Linked DNA regions of Sus scrofa. The protein of the gene in region 5 interacts with the protein of the main gene of each other region in a pairwise test. Links are inferred from orthologs where the notes say so. Each region holds a gene or a part of one and is shown on either strand. Other genes may lie near its edges. The genes, in order: WWP2, ABI2, GRB2, FASTK and WIPF1.

Region 1 (3,515 bases), on a different chromosome or scaffold from region 5:
TGCACATGACCTACAGCTGGGTATTGATCAATGCCCTCTGGAGGGTGACACAGCCTATGCACGGCAGGTACATACCATGACTCCCAACTCAGCATGCCCCGGCTGCCTCAAGAGGAAGTGAGGCCCAGGGTCAGCTTTCATGGACAACCACTCAACACCGGTATTTTTCCCCTGCCCACGGGTCAGACGGACTGGGTGAAATACAGACATAATGATGTTGGTGGGTAGAGCTACTGTCTTGAGTGAGCCCCTCCCCACAAAGCCCCTCAGCCTCCCCATGACCCGGTAACTACAGGGTTGATGCCTAGCCCAGCAGGGGACCCCAAGACCCTGCTCCAGCACCCCTTCAGACCCGCCACACCCGTGCCCACTCCTGCAGGTGCAGGGGAGCTCTGGCAACTGTCTGAGAAGGGAGGAGGCAGCTTTCCAGCCATGGGCTCTGCGGCCCCGGGGAAGTGGGGTGCAGCACAGCCCTCCAGGGGCACCCAGCTCACCTGGCGATGCCTCCATAGTCCAGGCCCTCCTCGCCGCGCATGATAATGTAGAGCCGGCGGCGCAGGTCGTAGGGCTTCATATTCATGATCTGGGGAGATAGAAGACTGAGCCAGCCTGCCACTCTCCAGTCCACGGCAGGCCGGGGGCAGGGGACGGGGGACTTCTAGGCCTGCTCTTCGGCAGATACCGGTCACCGTGGACCACGCCTTGAAAATTCTACTTCTATGGGCTTAAAAGGCCACATGACAGAAGACGGGTTGCAGGAGGGGGCCTTCTGCCGGCCCTCTGGTTTCAGACATGAAGATTATTCTCTAACCTGTTGGAAAGAATCCTCAAAAAGTGTCTGCCTGGAGACGCTGATCTTCACGTGGCTGGGGAGAGCATTTGACTGAAAAGAAAAGAGAAACAAACCTCCAGCTGGGGCCTTGGTGGCAAGTCTTCCGCCTGATCACCTGTCTGTCTGAATAGGCTTCCCCACCCACCCTGGGCCAAGAAGGAACAACTTGATGCCCTAGGAAAGGAAGCCGGCTTCCTGGAGATAATGTCACATAACCCCTTGGGTGAGATGAGTGACCGGCTCCCACCTAAGACACAGGCATTCCAGCGCCTGCTCCTGGGCTAGAAATTGGGCCGAAACTATAATTTCAGGGGTTGGGGGGTTGGGAGCCCTACTACCAGAACTCACGTGGCAGAGGAAGCGGAACTGGTGATACTTCCACCGGAAACTTCGGTCGTAGGCACCAGGGGAACCTTGCTTTGTCCTAGGAAGAGCAAAGATGCTCGGGAATCCATGGGGTTTCTCAAAAACATATCTTGTTAGCCCTAAGGAAAGCTGATGCCACGTTAATTTAAAGATGAGCGAAGTAGGCGTAAGAGAAAGGAAGTGACTGCCATTAAGACCATCTGCAGATTTGAAGATTCAAACGAAAAAAATAGAAACAAAGCCAGACCTCTTGCTTTTAGAGAAAGACCGCCAGTGTTATTCTGAACAAAGGAGCCCCTTCCCTCTCCCCACTCACACTGATTAAAGGGTGACATCAGGAGTTCCCATCCTGGCTCAGCAGAAGCAAATCTGACTAGCATGCGCAAGGATGCAGGTTCGATCCCTGGCCTCGCTCAGTGGGTTAAGGATCTGGCACTGCCGTGAGCTACAGTGTGGTCGCAGACGCAGCTCGGATATGGCACTGCTGTGGCTGTGGTGTAGGCTGGCATCTACAGCTCCAATGAGACCCCTAGCCTGGGAACCTCCATATGCCTCTGGTGTAGACCTAAAAAGACCAAAAAAAAAGTGTGACATCAAAGTTGGCCGCTAGAGGGCAGTGAGAACAGCTGGACCCGGCCTGAGCTAACAGAGCGGGGTATCACCTGTGCCAGGTCCTTACCCAGACTCAAACCCGGGGCGAGGATCCTTAAAGGTGGTGGTTCGGGTGTTGTGGTCCACGAAGTAACGCACCCCCTCGCTGGTGTACTTCATCTCCCACCCCGGAGGCAGAGCTGGCTCCTGGATCATCCTGGCAACATGGGAAGAGAGGGGTTGAAGGCAAATTTCACCTGCTGGGCCTCCAGGCTAAGGAGGCTGGGGTCCCACAGGGCTGCTTTATTTCTGCTTTTCCCAGGCCCTGCTGAGCCCTTGAAGGTGGGCCTTGAGCAAATGCACTTGGCAATGCCTGAACCCTGAGGACAGTTTTGCAGCAGAGAGAGGCCATCTATTGTCCCAAAGCCAAAGAACCAGCCCTGGGTGGATGGCCGTGGTCTGAGCATCTACCAACAATGCCAGGACACCAAGTACCCCTCTCCCAGACTAGCTTCTGGGAGGCTGGGAAGAACAGAGTTTTAGGATGAGGGGGAAGTTCTCGGCCCTTCTGAAATCACACAATCGGCAGCCTGCACAGCTGGTACAGAGACCAGCAACACCTGCCCACCAGGCCACTCTCTGTCCACAAGGAAGGTCAATTTAAGGTGCCACTCACAAGCTCTCACTGGGCAGACATCAGATCGTGAGGGTCTCGGGGCACCCGTGTGTGGCTAAGGGTCCCAGAACATCGGCCATGGAGGACGCATGCAGGCTCCTGGGCCAGGGCTAGAGCTGCACAGGGGCCCAGCTCAGACCTCTCCTGGTGTGAGTCCTTACCCCTGGGTCCGAGGATCCTCCCACTGGGTAGTGCGTGTGTTATGGTTCACGTAATACACCCGTCCATTGTCCTGTCTCTTCTCTGCCAGAGGAGAAGAAAGAAAAAAAAGGAAAAGACGCTCAGATTGAGACATCTTGAGCCCACATCCCTCTCCCCTCTGGCTCCCGCCTCCCGGCTGCTGGCTCTGAATGCCTGCTCCTGGTCCCAAGCTGTCAGAGAAGTTTAACCACCCAGAGCCTGGCTCTCATATCCGTCACTGGCAAAAAGGACAAGGAGCCCTTTCCTTTCTGGGGAGGAGGGATAGACACGTTTTCAACTCAAGATCAAGCACCGTCTTCGGTGGGTGGGTCTGCGGGAGAGAAGGGGGTGGTGTGGCAACACGAGGGGGGGCAGCCCAGCTGAACCCAGAGGCGTAATTGCAACCAGCTGTGTGCAAAGTGGAGGCACAGCCCAGCCTCCCCTCAACCCGGGTCCCCACCCCAGTCCATCGCTGCTGCTCTCTGGTCCTGCAACCGCTCCGCCCACTGGATGCAGTGACCCGGGTGCCTGTCTCACAGGCAGGGTCACTGTGGGGTGGCTGCATTTCCCCTCATGCCTCTCCGATCAGCGCTCTGCACCACCGGGCCTATGTCCCCTCCGGCTTAAAGGCAAAATTTTGTCCTAAAGCTCCCACATCCTAACAAAACCTCTATGCTGCTTATGCGCAAATCCACATCTGGGGTTGTAGGCACGCACAATGCCATCTCGGCCTTACACCTAAGTGCGTGCTTCGAGACGGGGCAGCGTTTGGGAGCTCAGACACAGCTCTGATCTCCTCGGGACAGTATCTACCTCTAGCCCCAATGGACTCACGATGGCTCTGGGTTGTTCGAGGGAGAGAAGTCTGGG
Region 2 (3,515 bases), about 26 Mb from region 5:
GGTCACGGGTTCGATCCCTGGCCTTGCTCAGTGGGTTAAGGATCCAGTGTTGCCGTGAGCTGTGGTGTAGGTTGCAGACGCAGCTCAGATCTCGAGTTGCTGTGGCTCTGGTGTAGGCCGGCAGCTGCAGCTCCGATTCGACCCCTAGCCTGGGAATCTCCATGTGCCACAGCAGCGGCCCAAGAAATGGCAAAAAGACAAAAAAAAAAAAAAAAAAACCATATTCCATTTTGATTTACACGAATCAGAAACTAAACATGTATCCAGACATAAACATCTTATTGGTAAAAAAGAATTTAGAAAAATACAAATCTCCTTTTCATGACTTTTAAAAAGATATTATCTATTTGTTATTAAAGCAAATTAAATATGTAATATCCTATCCTTAATGTCTTTTGGGTCATGTTTTAAAAACTAAATTTTAACTGTGAGTCCTCAAATTAAACAAGTACATTTCTCTGTTTCAGATAAGATCGGGTGCATTCAGGGTGGTATAGCCATACATTATTTTGTTTCAGAGAAAAGCGGGTAGCATTTCAGTGATTATTAAGTTCCAGAGTCAGCTAAATTTAACTAGTTAATTATATCTGTCCAATCCTTGGTTACCAATCTGATCCTCACACTGGGTGCCCACTGTGTCCAAAGGCATGCACTGTCATAACACCAGCTGGAATTAAACACGTAACTCATTCCAAGGTGGTATCTGAAACCTCAAAGCACCACCTCAGCCATAGCACCAAATACATTAAACCAAATAACAGAGAAGTTTGTAACAAACTTACAAATCACTTGGCTAAAATAACAAATGGATAAAGATTTCTCAACATTTAGACTCTTAAAGGGAAAAAAAAAATCCAATTATGAAGAAAACCCACTGTAATTAAATCAGAAACTCAACTCAAGACTCCAAAAGGAGAGGTGATGATGAAGCACAATGCATGTTTTACCTGGAAAGACACTGGGTGGAGAGGGGGTGGGAACGGCAATGGGGACTCCCACACTCCCACTTCCACTGTTCTCCCGACTGCTGCTCCTACTGCTTGGATGGCTTCCTCCACTACTCCCGCTGCTGCTAAAGGAATAAGAGCCACCAAACCATGAGCATTTATATATGGTAAGGTATCACCAGCATTTTCCAAAATTTTCTGAAATGAATATAGCTATACGATGATAATTCCAAAGTCTTTCACTTCAAATATGAATTCCTTAACAGAGTAAAGGGAAAAGCCGAGTTCAAAAAAACTTGTTTTGGATACCTTTTAACGAGTATGTATTAAAGAAGTTGGGAAAGAAAAAAAATTCTCCATCAATGTAAGTGACAAATGATGGGGCTCAACACAGAAAAATAATACTCCTTTCTTTCATTCCAGTTTAAAATGGCTGCCTGAGGAATCTTTTTTATAATAAAAAGTTTTCCTAAACAGATTATTTGATTAATTTTATTTGCAACATCACGACTACCCCATACTAGTGTTTTATTGCGTATAGTTTTTCATCTGTAAAGTTCCACCAAAAAACAACTTGAAATTTCCCACATCCGGTCCACAATTTTTTTTCGGGTCAACTAAAACTATCGATCTTGTAAAGGAGTTTGCACTTTGAAAGGTTTGTTCTTTTTCAACTTGCTGATTGCTCAAATTTGCATCAGAACATGAGGAGAGAGAGGTGGAATCAGATGAGGTTTGGAGGAGTAGAGTGAGGAAAAGAACTTAGTGCTTGGAAAATGAGAAAGGTTTAACTGAAGTTATCTAAACAAATTATGGTACTATGACCATCACATTTTGCGCTGAGGTAGAGAAAATACCTGTAAGTTCGATTTCTTTGATTCACAGAAGCTGTCCTCACAGGGCTCTGCTGCGAGGGAGCCATATTACGGGTTGGGCTAGGTACGTAATCATTTGGTACCACTGGAGGACGCACTGGCTCCAGTGTGCGATAGGGGGAGTGCCGCCTACAAAAAGAAGAGCGTATGTAGCGTGTGATTAGCAAGTTTCGGCACAATAAATTCAGAGTTGCCAGTAGTGAAATACAATTTGTACTCGAGAGATAGTAAAATGTGTTTTAAAAAAACCCAGCTACCAATTTCAGTATAAGTATCACCTCACCATTAGGGTTTTGATGCTACTGTTATTTTTTAGTCTCTGACCTCATTTCCCTGTGCCAATGCAATTTTGTTCACTCATTCTGAGAGCATGAAGATTCTCCCACCTGGTAGGCCAATGTTTCCCAGACTCTCTTCTAAGATACGTTCAAAGTATTTTAGTGCCAAATCAAATTCTCCCAACTGCACTGTACGAATGCACTAATTGTCTTCCTCACCCCCTCTCTCCCTAACCAAAAGTATTCAAAAAGTAAGGTAAATAAATTTAGAATTTGGCTCCACAACCCCCACACTGATGATCAAGAGCAACAACAATTCAATTCCTTTTGTATACAGCTAGTACACAGAAATAAAACTGTATCTCCACACAGAGAAATAAACAATGGAATCTCATTCTCCATTCTCTCTTCACATCCTCCTTCAACTTCCACCCTGACTGCCCTTACCCTCTTCAGAGTTCAATATTCAAAAGGGAGAGAAGAAATAAAAAGTCACCTAAGTCTTTCTACCTTATTTACTTTGAACTGTAAAGTACAAAGTAAACTGGATTTCATTAGCATATTTCCCTTTTTTTCCCCTCAAAATTCCCTTTTAAAAGAAGAGAATGAGAAGAACAAGAAAGGAAATATGATAGGAAATAGGATACACACTGGAACACTAGTGATTATTTAAGTTAGTTCTCATCTTTACATTTCCAAATTTTTTATGACAAACACTCTGACATGAAACTGATACTGTATAGATGAGATTCTGGTCTTTAAAAAAAAAACAAAACTGGATTTCAACATGTGAAAATTAAAGACTCTTCTTCTCCTAAAATGACATTACTCACTTGACTTATGTATTTCTCAATAATTCACTCTCCTGGAGTTCCCGTCGTAGCTCAGCAGTTAGCAAACCTGACTAGGATCCATAAGGATGTAGGTTAGATCCCTGGCCTCTCTCTCAGTGGGTTAAGGATCTGGTATTGCCATGAGCTGTGGTGTAGGTCGCAGATGCGGCTTGGATCCTGCGTTGCTATGGCTGTGGCATAGGCCAGCGGCTACAGTTCCTACTGGACCTCTAGCTTGGGAACCTCCATATGCCGTGGGTATGGCCCTAAAATACACAAAAAGACCAAAAAAAAAAAGTAATAATTATAATTCACTTTCCCAAAAGCTCCCCAGGTTCCTTTAAACTGTTCTGGGCCACTCAAGGGCTGGCTCACTGATTTGGAATGAGGTCACTTTGCAATGACCGTGTCTGTTCTATTACCATCAAAATCTGGCATAAACAAATACACACATTATTAAAAATGAATCAGGGCACTAAATGAGACACTGGGTCAAAGAAAGAAAAATGAAGGTCAGAACCTTGGATTTAAAATATTCCATATGCCTCCAGGCGACCGAAAAAATAAAAATAAAAACAAAAA
Region 3 (2,888 bases), on a different chromosome or scaffold from region 5:
CTATGAAAAACAACATGCTCAAAACACCACTTGGAGGGAAAACCACGTGGAAAGGGACACAGGTTAGGGCCCGGCCTGCAGGAAGCCCCGAGGGGCGCCACCCCCTCCGCCACCCCAGTCCACGTCCACACGTGGGGTGGGCTGGGAGGGGGCCGGCCCTGCTCCCCCCGCTCCCCCGGCAGAAGCTGAGCAGCACGGGCCTCCCGCTCCCGCCCGCTGTCCGAGTGCACAGGCGGGACATGGAAGCGGCTGTTCTTCTTTCTGTTGTTCCAGCTAAAACAGACATTTTGCATAGAGAAAATATCAGCCCACGTGGTTTCTTTTCTTTTATTATTGGCAACAGCTAGGACTATATGCGGCATTGAACGTCATGCACTGATGGACAGAAGAGAAAAAGGATGAAAAAAGGACAAAGGAGGAGGAGGAGCAGCGGTGAAAATTTGTAATAAAAACTCTTCTTAATTTATAGGTAAGTTTTGGCATTATATCCAACGCCCCCGCCCACCCCCCCGAGTTCCAACCGAAGTGAGAGGGTCACCAGGTGACCCAGCCAGGGGTTCCGAGCTCCCTCACAGGCTGCTGTTAGAGGCAGCTCATGGGTTTAATTCTTTTGCACGTGTTTAAAATTCTTCATTTTCTTTAAATAATCTTCTCTTGACTCTTAGACGTTCCGGTTCACAGGGGTGACGTAATTGCGCGGAAACATGCCGGTCTGCCCGTGGCAAGCCCCCTTCCACCAGTTGGGGTCCGAGTTATCCATGACGTGGATAAAGTCTCCCCGACGGAAGCCCAGCTCACCATCCTCCTGGGGGTCAAAGTCAAAGAGGGCCTGGACGTATGTCGGTTGCTGCAGAGAGGCAGGGAGAAAACACATTGCATTCCCGACGGCGGCCAGCCCCTCGCGCTGGTGACGGGAACCCGAGGCGTGCCAGCCTTGCCACATGACCTGAAATAACCCCTCCTTCCGCCTCCCCTCTCCACCAGTTCTTCCAGAGCCTTGGTGGACCCCGGGTGGGCGGACTCTTTCAGCCACAGCAACACGAGAGTGTACCCAGGGTGGCCAGCTGTGCAGGGCATCGAGCAGAGGGCAGCAAGTTCAGCTTTAAGGGGAGAGAACTTCAGAAACAGCCAGTGGGGCTTCGTTTACAATCCCAGAGGTGCAAAAGTTTTACTTCCTATCACCTTAACACTTATAAAATCCTTCGGGTTTTATGGTCAGAGGCTAAGAGCCTGAATGAAGTGCGGTGGTGCCCACCAGAACACAGGACAGCGAACACAGGACTGAGGGGACCCCGCCCCTCACACGCCTGATCTTCCCCGCAGCTCAGTGCCAGGGAACGGCTACCTGAGGGTGTGTTCAAGTGTACCTTAGAGACCCACGGCTTCAGGGAAGCAGCCTCTGGAGGGGGCAAGACTATTATTTTTTTGTTTCAAACTTCAAATCTTTAACACGAATTAAGGATAACATTTTGGATAAGGAGCAAAAAAGGCCCAGAGGTAAACCCTCTGAAAGAACACCTGCTGGCCTGAGGCGCCACCCTTCACTGATAAAAGGGACCCCCATCTCTCCCTTACGAAGCTCACCTGTGGCACCTGTTCTATGTCCCGGAGGAATATCTGCTGGTTTCTGGAGACGGATGTAGATCTGTGATAATCTACCAGCTCATTCAAAGAATTGAACTTCACCACCCAGAGGAAGTACTTGCCAGCGCCGTCCCGGAGCACCTTGAAGTGCTGCACATCATTGCCAAACCTGGGGAGGGCAGAGGACACAGTGAGAACAGGTCCCAGGGCTCTGTCCTGGCTGCCAGGGGCCACCTGCCGAGCAAGGAGCCATCCTGGGAGAACTCATGTTCTGGCCGCGCCCCGCACAGCCTGAGGGCCCGGGGCTGGAGCACAGCTTGACCGGCTGGCTGGAGAGGCAGGACAGTCACCAAGCGCCCTGACCCCTCCGTTTCGGCCGACAATGACCAGTGTCAACATGAAGACACCTCTCCAGACACAGAAACCTTGTCAGACTAATTCTGAAGAAGTTTGCAAATAAAAAAGAGAAATGTCCTAACCTGTGGAAGCCGCTCCCTGCCCTGTACCAAAAGATAAAAGGACTAAAATCTTGTATGATATTTAAAGAGACTACAAGAGACAGGACAGGAAATAAGGTGAGAAGGGATGGGACATACTTCTAGCGATTTTCCTGTACCTAGGAAAGGTTTAAAGCCATATTTTCTTTTCTCTCTCTCTTTGTTGTTTGTTTGTCTTTTTAGGGCTGCACCTGCAGCACATGGAGGTTCCCAGGCTAGAAGTCAAACTGAGCTATAGCCACCAGCCTACACCACAGCCACCGCAATGCCGGATCCAAGACGGATCTGTGATCTACACCACAGCTCACAGCAACACCAGATCCTTAACCCAGTGAGTGAGGCCAGGGATCGAACCTGTGTCCTCATGGATGCTAGTCAGATTTGTTTCCACTGAGCCACGACAGGAACTCCGAAAAGTCCTGTTTTCTGCTCAAGGATTTTAGGTCTACTTGTGGGGAGAAGATCTCAGAACAAAACATGCTGGGACACTAAAAAGGCCCAGGCACCTCCTACCCCCTCCCCTCTACCACCTGGTAAAGCGGTAAATGCCACCTTTCACGCTGGCCCAGAAAACCAGCCCGAGCCTGGCTGAGTGGGCCGGCCCACAGACACCGTGCTGTCGGCCCAGCACATCAGCTCCACCAAGGCGCTGCCCGTCCCTCACAAGGCACTCTACAACCATCTGCAAAACGAGCGGAGGACTCTCTTCTGCCATTGGTTTTAAGGCATTAACGCGTCTTAAAAACAACCCAGCAGGTGGCAGCACTGAGCTTTAAGGAAGCCACGAGTAGGAAGCGCTTAGAAACA
Region 4 (4,071 bases), on a different chromosome or scaffold from region 5:
AGGAGCGAGGCTTCTTGGGCTGCAGACCCCACCCTGCTGGCCCCCCCGGCCCCCGGCCCCCTGGGACCCAGCCAGCCCTCCAGTCTCCGCACCACTGATGTGATTGATGAAACCTGGGGAAAAGACAAAGCGCAGGGCTCGGAAGGGCAGGCACCGCAGCTGGCACAGTGACATCAAGATGTTGACAGTTGCCAGGGGGGCCACCCCTGCTTCCCGAGCCAGGATCCTCTCGAGGCAGGGCATAAACTGCTCTTCCAGAGGCAGGTAGTTCAGCCGCCCAAAGGGCAGGACCAACTTCTGGACCACCTGTGGAGCAAAAGCAGCCCATCACCCAGCAGGAAAGGTTTCAACATCCTTCACAAGCTGAACCTCAGGGAGGCGTGGCTGCAAGCTTAGGACGTCACCGTGAAGGCAGGACAGCCCCTCTACATACACACCAGAAGTCCCGCAGCGTAAGCAGTGCTTGAGTCCCACGTGATTAGTCTCCAAACGCAGGAGACACAGCTGTGGGATCTGCCATGAAGGCAGCTAGGTCAGGGGTAAGAGTGTTTGGAAGACGGCAGTAAACCAGGCATACGAGCTGGGGAGGTGGACAAGCCAAAGAGGGTGTGGGCAAAGAAGGAACCCCACCGCACAGAGCAGAGGGCCTAGTGGGGGCTGCCTGCTGCAGGAAGCAGCTGCCCATCAAGCCGGATGGGGGTGGGGGGTGTTGGCCTGAGGGGGTGTCTGAGGATGACTGGGAGAGGAGCCGTGAAGGTGGGAGGTGGTCCCACCTTGCTGTTGAGCTGGGCTTCCTGGACCACCAAAAAGTGAGCAATAGCTTCCAGAAGCTGGGGTTCCCGCAACCGGTGGCGGGCCAGGTGCTGGGCCAGGAGCACCATCACTTGGGGAGTCAGTTCCTCTGGCCTGGCCTCTGTGAAGAACAGCCTCTTAAGCTGGACCCTAAGGCCGGACACCACCACCTGCCTCCTCCTTAGCTCCCCTCCGCCCATCAACCTTAACCCCCTCCGGCACCTGCCAGGCTGCGGATGAGGTGCTGCTGTGGATGCCGCAGGAAACGGGGGCAGCTCAAAGCAGCTTCCAACCTTTGCCCACCATGAAGGACAGGTTGCGGAGAGGGAGGCGGCTTCGAATGGAGGCGGCACCTGCGCTCCTGTTCCAGGGCACGCACCAGGGGCCCATCTGATGGGAAGCCTGAGAGGGAGAGGGTCAGTGGAGGCAGGCCTGGCAACGGGGTTGCTCTGCTCTGCTCCAGTCCTGGAGTCTAGCTAGTGAATTCCCCACCCTTTCACCTCCATTTCCTGGGCTGGAAGGTTTGCTATAGAGAATGTACATGTGTGGACATGCTGGAGAAATGCAAAAAACCACATGAACTAAGGTATCAGAACAGACGGAGGGTAAGGCCTTATACAAAGATGGCAAGTAAGTTCTCATGTCTTGCCAATGGTGACAAGTGGCAGAGGCTTCCTAGAACACTGCACTAGAAGGGAGCTGGAGTGGCACCCCAGCTAAGCCGCAGTGAATGTGCCGTTCCTGGCAAAGCCTGAAAGGTGGGTTCTGTCAGTGATCTTGGGTCCTCTACCGTTCTCTCCTCTCCATTAACACCCACCCCCAGACACCCTCCTCACCAAGTAAGACTGCGAGGTGCAGACACACGTGGATGGTGTGAATGTCAAAGGAGGGGCAGTTTCGGATGATGAGCTGACTCAAGTCCTGTAGTGTGGCCTGCTCCACGGGAGGGGGCCGTGGCTGGGACCCCAAGAGCTGACCCAGGCGACGAAGTGCCACAAGGTAGTGGTGGGCGTGGACCTTGGTGGGGTTCTGGCCCAGCCAGCGCAGCAGCTCCCCAGGGCTCCTTGCCTGTTCCAGAAGCCGCTGCAGCCCCTGCACAGGGCCTACATGGGAGCCTCCTCCAGGAGGCCGGTCCCCCCACTTGCTGGGCCCCAGACAGTAGGGCTGTACTGGCGGGAGCAGCAGCAGGCCAGAGAGCCGAGCGCTGGAGGCCTGGGCAGAGAGCAGGACTCGAAGCATGGAGTTGGGTGATGGAGACCCTGAGGGGTGGCCCAGAAAAGGGGGTGAGGTATTCTCCAAAGGGGAGAAAGGCCAGCTCTCTGCTCCTCACCTCACACTCCCCATCCAGAGGGGCCTGGGGTCGGAGCAACCCAGACTCAGGTTCGCCCTTCTTTGTGGCTACGCTGGTCCTCCACCCCACCCGCACCTCTCTGCCTCCTTCTACCCTTTGAGACAGCAAGCGAATCCTTCAGTGTTCTCGGCGTAGGGATATTCACAAAGCAACGCCACATACATGCTCTCCTCTGATCCTCCTGTGAGAAGGCAGGCAGGGCCAGCATCATCTCGCTTTCACAGGTGGAGAAACCAAGGCCCAGAAAGGCGAAGGGGTTAAGTTAAGCCCGAGGTCACGCATCTGGTTAGTGGTCGCGCTCAGCCTGGAGCCCAGCTCGCCCCAACGATACGCCCTCCCGACCACCTCCCCCTCCCGTAGGAGGCGGCGGCGGCGGCACGGAGGGTGGAACGCGGGATCCGCAGCCAGACGGTCCTGGGTTCCATGCTGGGCGCTCCCACTTACCAGCTGCGTGACCTTGGACAAGTGGCTTCGTCTCTCTGCCCAAGCCTCCTCGCCCGTGAAACGAGAACGCAGCGCCCACCTCGGAGGGCGCAGCTTTGCTATGGCGCGGAGTCGGTGGTGTCAGGGGGCCCCACACCCACCCGGCCAGGGGATGCCAGGAGACCGTAGTCACGGCCACCAACGCCAACTCCCGCCGCCCTCCCGCAGCCCGCCCCTCAGGCGCCACCCCTACATGACTCCCCGGGCCCCGCGCAGATCGCTCCCTCAGTCGGTCTCGGGGCCCGAGAGCCGGGCTCCCCCCGCGGCCTCCTCATCGGCGGGCCACCGAGTCCGCCATCTTCCCAGCAGCCCCCGGATCGCCGCCCAGACGCCAATCGCGGCACGGTCCTCCGCCAGCGGAGACGTGGCTCCCGTCAGGCCCCGCGCGCCAGGGTGCCGCGCGCCCCGCCCCCTGCTTCTGGGAAGCTGCGCGCGCGGCTCCGGGGCGGGGGCGGGACTAGGAGCGGGGCGGAGCCCAAGGGCGAGGAGCCGAGGATGCAGCGAAAAGCAGAGGGGAAGTCGGCAGCCAGCCTGGGCAGGTTGGGCAGGGCGAAGTGCCTGGTAAGTGGGAGCGCCCAGCACGGAACCTAGGACCGTCCGGCTGCGGATCCCGCGTTCTACCGTCTTTCTCCCAGTGGGCAGGAGCTCCCTGCCCCACGGGCCCACACAGGCAGGCACACACCAAGAGTGAAAACTTCACAGTTATTTAATCTGCACATGTTCCAGAGAACCCCCTCCTTCCCACCCACGCTCCCGTCCTTGGGTCCCTAAATCAGCTCAAGATGCTCTCAGGGACTAGAGGTGGCTGGGTTTTCAGGCAGAACACTAAGAAGGGCCTAGGGGCGTGGCCGGGCTCTGCCCAGGGCCGAGGCAGCGACAGCAGCTGTCTGACCCGGAGGAGCTGACTGTCCGTGGGGGCTGAGGGCCAGCAGCCCCAGAAGGTGGCCCAGAGCCATGAAGGTCACAGGGAGGGGCCTCCGCCGGCCCCCGGAGCGCTCTGCGGCGCAGGGCTGGGCTCCAGGGTAGTGGGAAGAGGCAAGTGGGAGAGGCCGGCCGGGGCAGACAGCAGCTCCCACCGTGTCGTGGGGAGCAAGGTCCGGAGGGGCCAGCGACACTGCCAAGAGCCCGTGGAGGCACTACGGGCGGTACATGGCAAAGGCCAGGAGACTGAGGAGTAGGGTGAAGCCGGCCAGACCCAGGGTGGCTGTCAGGGGAAAGAAGGGCCGGTACTGGATCTGGCAGTACCAGAGCAGCAGCAGCAGCAGCAGGAGCAGGGGCAGCAGGAGGCTGCCTACCTCCAGCCCGGAGGGGCCTGGCTCTGACCCCGGTGGGCAGGGTGGGTGTGGGGGACCCACCCGGGTGGACACGTGGCAGTGGAGAACGCAGTTGGGAGGGAGGTGAAGGCTGCCCAGGGTCTGGGTGTCGTCTCCTAGCAGCTGCCCTTG
Region 5 (3,976 bases):
GTCTCATTTGATTTCAACTGTGACCTGATTCACATATGTGGGTCCTGGTTATTCACAAGGCATAAGCCTACCAAACCTTCCAGCACTGTGGCATCACTGTGGCATCACTGTGGAATGTTGGTCACAGTGGCAGAGACCTCTGTATGAAAATCATTAGGAATTTGGTAGACCTCAGGCTTCAGGAAGACGATGGCTCTGGGAGGCAGAGTCCTAAATATCAGATGCTTAAAGTGAAGGGGCTACAGCAACAACCAAAAAGGTACTTTGCCTTCTGTTCTCCTGATGTGCACTGTAGAAGTCCTATCCATAGTTAAGAACACCCTGAAATAACCAAGACTGTGACATAGAGCCAGGGATGAATACTCCCCTCAAAAGCAGGCTCATCCCTGAGCAAAGCAACTGAGACAGTAAGTTTAACAGGTAAAGGGATACCACTTTCTCTCCACCAGCCCTGTCCCACTCCTTTAGCTTCTTTTTTTTTTTTTTTTTTTTTTTTGCTTTTGCTTTTTACGGCCACACCCACGGCATATCCCAGGCTAGGAGTAGAATCAGAGCTGTAGCCTCTGGCCTATGCCACAGCCACACAAGATCAGAGCCCCATCTGCAACCTACACCATAGCTCACGGCAACACAGGATCCTTAACCCACTGAGCAAGGCCAGGGCTCGAACCTGCAACCTTGTGGTTACTAGTTGGATTTGTTCCTGCAGAGCCGAGACGGGAACTCCCCTCCTTTAGCTCTTTATTGCTCTCATGTCATGGTGCTACATACTGCATGGTGCCCCTCTAATGCCTTGTGCTGTGCTGCTTTTTGCTGCTTCACACACCATTATCCCACTTGATCCTCACAGGATGAGATGGAGAAAGGGCAAAGGTTATCAACTCCATTTCTTGGATAAGTGAGGCTCAAGTTGCACAATACACATGATATGCCTAAAGGACCAGAAAGTGACACTTAATTGGTGAAATGAACAAACAAATGAAAGGCATGAATCTCTACAGCTGGAAATAATCTCACTGTCTCTAAATGAACCCACATCTGATCTTACCTTGCTTACAAATCTTTTTGCTCTACATCACAAAAACCTAAGAGTTTTTGTGCTGCTCAGGGAGCCAAAAAAGATGATGAGGTTACTAGAATAGTCTAATAACCACTGCAAAGTCCAGTCTGCACAATTCCACTCAACGGGTAATGGGCTGCTACAGGTAGCTGGGGATTTGGTCCCTGAGACTCAGCCCTGTGAAGATGACAGATGAGTCAAGATACACAAGAGGAGAAAGCAGTCTTGTGAGCACTGTAAAGAGGAATTAAGATGCAAATGCCAATGGCCTATGCTGATTTTCTCACCTCCAGAAGTCCAAGGGTATTTCATAAAAACTGAAAATGAAAACTCTTTGGAGTTATTTTAACCGTTAACAGAAAAAGGCTTTTTCTGAGGAGGAAAAATATGCCAACGACTCAAAATGAAGCTACAGTATTGTTTTGGAATTGCCTTGGGAAACTGGCAAAAGAAAACCCACCCAGGGTGGGATTCGGTCCAGCGGCTCCGCGGCTGCACCGCCTAAAGTCTGGGACTACACTCGGCCAGTGATTGGGGGTGGAATCCAGTGACTATTCAGGGGACAACGGTGTCACACAATTTTCACAAAATGGGACCAAGTCCACCCAGTCACTGCTGACAACTTGAGAGGCTTCCCAGAGAACTGAGATAAAGTCAGCAGCCCGTGGCCCAGGAAGGAATATGTATTCCTCTGGGATTAAGCAGGACCAGAGGACCTGGCCAGGCTCGGTTCCTCACAGACACACCCTTTGTTAAGCTCCAGGAGTCCAAAGTCTAACCACGAGTTGAAGATTTGGGTCGCCCGGATTGGGTCAGCTGGTTTCTCTTACGCTTGCAACTTTCTCTAACAGTACTTTAAAAAAAGAAGAAAAAAAAAATATGTTAACAGAAAAAGTAGAGGGAGTGAGACTGAAGTGAAGCCGTTCCGAAAGTTCCGGAGAGGCCCTGGGGGGAAAAGAGCTGACGGGGACTGGACGTCCTTTAAGGTCACCGCACACATCTAACGCAAGCGTCTACACTGCCCGCAGCGCGAGGCTCAGCCTGGGGCACCCGGCGGGAGGCGAGTCTGGGAAGCCGCGTTGCGGGATGGGCACAACTCCCCTGAGAAGAAGCAGAGGCAGCTCCCTGGCAGAAACTGGCCTCGGGGTGCCCTAAAGTCTCCATTCGCCTGTCATGGGTGGGGTAGACGCGGCCCCAGCGCATCGCAGCGAAGCCCCTGCCGTGGGTACCTAAGCCGGGAGCCGGGCCGAGCCCCCGGGTGGCCGGAGATCTGCGGAGCCCAGCGGCGCGCCCAGCCCAGAAGGCGCCCGCGTCCGGACCCTCACGGTCCGCCGCCCCTTCCTTCTCTGCCCGCGGGTACTGGACGCGCAAGCCGCGGGGCCCGAGTCCGCCCCTCCCGAGACCGCGCGCCCGCCCCCGCCCGCAGCGGACGCAGCCCCGACGTCCCCGCGGCCCCCGCCCGCGCCCACCCGGCGCCGAGCCGAGATGCCCAGCCCAGCCCTCCTCGGGGTCCCTGGGGGCCTAGAGGGTCTCCACGGGCGCTGCCCTGAGTCCCCGGAACCCGGTCGCGCCCTTGGCAGCGGCAGCGGCGCGTCCCTTACCGTGCAACGGCTCCGGGCAGCTCCAGGGCCCTGCGGCGCGCCGGGCATTTTTCTTAGGGAAACTTCTCCCCGGTTCGTAGGGCTGAGCCGGCCGGGCAGGAAAAGCGCTCAGCGCCGGGAGGCTGCGACCATCCGGGAACTTCGCTGGGATGTAAACCCTCCCCCTCGGCTCCCCGTCCCCCCCGCCCCCCCTGCGGCCCCGCCGCATGTGGACGCGCCGCGAGGCCGCTGCCGGCCCTTCGCCTCCTCTCTGTGCGCCGCGCCCGCGCTGCCTGGAGCTGAGGCTCTGCGCCCCACGGCCTAGGGCCTCGACGGAGCGTGGCAGCAATGGGGCGATTGGAAGCTGGGGCTCCTGTGTCGCTCCTTCCCCTCCCCTGGGTTTGCAAAGAGGTGGGAACTGGAAGGGGTGTCCAGCTCCAGGGCCCTTTCCTCCGAAGACTCCACAGCTTCCCGCTGTCGGGGTCCCTTCACCACCGCCATCACCACCCCCGTACCCGACCCCCCGCAACCCCAAGAGAGGGAAAGACTTTTCCCGGCCTTCTCTGTCCTCAGAGAGTCCGGCTTGGAAACACCTTAAATTGAAATTCATCTTAAAAAAATGAATTTTAAAATGGAGTGGCACCCACAAAGACCCAAGGTCCACCTGCATCTTTCTCTCTGCCCACTGTGTGGGGACAGCAGTGCTCGTCTTATGGAAAGAAGGCAAGTCCCCCCACCAAGAACCAGCAGGATTCTCTGAGTAGTTCCACTCCTAGTAGGGATGTAGCTAATCAGCCACCCACATCCTCAAATATGGTAGCACCAGCAGCAAACAGTTGGAGAAACCTGAGGTTCTACGCCATTGCCGGAGCTGTTACTGACCAGCTCTGAAAGCGGCCACCTCCAGGATCCAAGCACAAGCTCACACTAAGACAACACAGATGTTAGAATCTATGTGTTTGAAAAGAACAACAAATTGTGATCGATATAATAACCATGTAATCATATTACATGGTTAAAATGTTAAACCATTAAAATGGTTTTCATGTTTATTCATGTTAAAATACCAAGGCTGTATATCCCTCGAATAAAAGCAGGACAGGTGGGAATACATGCACTTCAGAATGGATGTCCTAGCTTGAAGAGGCCCTTCATCCTTGACTTTAGGCTGTCTGCTTGTAGGCCAGTCCCCATGTGCACCTTTGCACCTTGACATGCTCTTAACAGATACAATAATTCTTCTGGGAAAGAGATTTAGTAACATGGGTAAACTTCTCAATGACAAACTTTTGTCCCTGAATGAACCCATCTTTGGGTAAGCTTTTCTTTTTCAGCC

Evidence for each region.
Region 1: the proteins of WIPF1 (region 5) and WWP2 interact in binary tests that used the Homo sapiens proteins (3 or more experiments, as listed by UniProt). The two-hybrid records come from large-scale screens. The link is inferred for Sus scrofa from reciprocal best matches to the Homo sapiens genes WIPF1 and WWP2.
Region 2: the proteins of WIPF1 (region 5) and ABI2 interact in binary tests that used the Homo sapiens proteins (3 or more experiments, as listed by UniProt). The link is inferred for Sus scrofa from reciprocal best matches to the Homo sapiens genes WIPF1 and ABI2.
Region 3: the proteins of WIPF1 (region 5) and GRB2 interact in binary tests that used the Homo sapiens proteins (3 or more experiments, as listed by UniProt). The link is inferred for Sus scrofa from reciprocal best matches to the Homo sapiens genes WIPF1 and GRB2.
Region 4: the proteins of WIPF1 (region 5) and FASTK interact in binary tests that used the Homo sapiens proteins (3 or more experiments, as listed by UniProt). The two-hybrid records come from large-scale screens. The link is inferred for Sus scrofa from reciprocal best matches to the Homo sapiens genes WIPF1 and FASTK.

The regions. Positions count from the first base shown.
Region 1 is NC_010448.4:17,077,983-17,081,497, forward strand, and holds part of WWP2 (NEDD4-like E3 ubiquitin-protein ligase WWP2), read right to left. Parts: intron 2,709-3,515; coding exon 2,627-2,708; intron 2,007-2,626; coding exon 1,878-2,006; intron 1,257-1,877; coding exon 1,181-1,256; intron 884-1,180; coding exon 812-883; intron 584-811; coding exon 495-583; intron 1-494. UniProt on the Homo sapiens protein: E3 ubiquitin-protein ligase which accepts ubiquitin from an E2 ubiquitin-conjugating enzyme in the form of a thioester and then directly transfers the ubiquitin to targeted substrates.
Region 2 is NC_010457.5:106,856,686-106,860,200, reverse strand, and holds part of ABI2 (abl interactor 2), read right to left. Parts: intron 1,952-3,515; coding exon 1,805-1,951; intron 1,073-1,804; coding exon 948-1,072; intron 1-947. UniProt on the Homo sapiens protein: Regulator of actin cytoskeleton dynamics underlying cell motility and adhesion. Functions as a component of the WAVE complex, which activates actin nucleating machinery Arp2/3 to drive lamellipodia formation.
Region 3 is NC_010454.4:6,006,717-6,009,604, reverse strand, and holds the end of GRB2 (growth factor receptor-bound protein 2), read right to left. Parts: intron 1,754-2,888; coding exon 1,585-1,753; intron 848-1,584; coding exon 662-847; 3' UTR 510-661; downstream 1-509. UniProt on the Homo sapiens protein: Non-enzymatic adapter protein that plays a pivotal role in precisely regulated signaling cascades from cell surface receptors to cellular responses, including signaling transduction and gene expression.
Region 4 is NC_010460.4:6,144,139-6,148,209, reverse strand, and holds the start of FASTK (fas-activated serine/threonine kinase), read right to left. Parts: upstream 2,814-4,071; 5' UTR 2,355-2,813; coding exon 2,237-2,354; intron 2,052-2,236; coding exon 1,629-2,051; intron 1,195-1,628; coding exon 1,015-1,194; intron 914-1,014; coding exon 774-913; intron 307-773; coding exon 93-306; intron 1-92. Other genes in the region: TMUB1 (transmembrane and ubiquitin-like domain-containing protein 1), read right to left, coding at 3,763-4,071. UniProt on the Homo sapiens protein: Phosphorylates the splicing regulator TIA1, thereby promoting the inclusion of FAS exon 6, which leads to an mRNA encoding a pro-apoptotic form of the receptor.
Region 5 is NC_010457.5:80,643,649-80,647,624, forward strand, and holds the start of WIPF1 (WAS/WASL-interacting protein family member 1), read right to left. Parts: upstream 2,815-3,976; 5' UTR 2,662-2,814; intron 1-2,661. UniProt on the Homo sapiens protein: Plays a role in the reorganization of the actin cytoskeleton. Contributes with NCK1 and GRB2 in the recruitment and activation of WASL.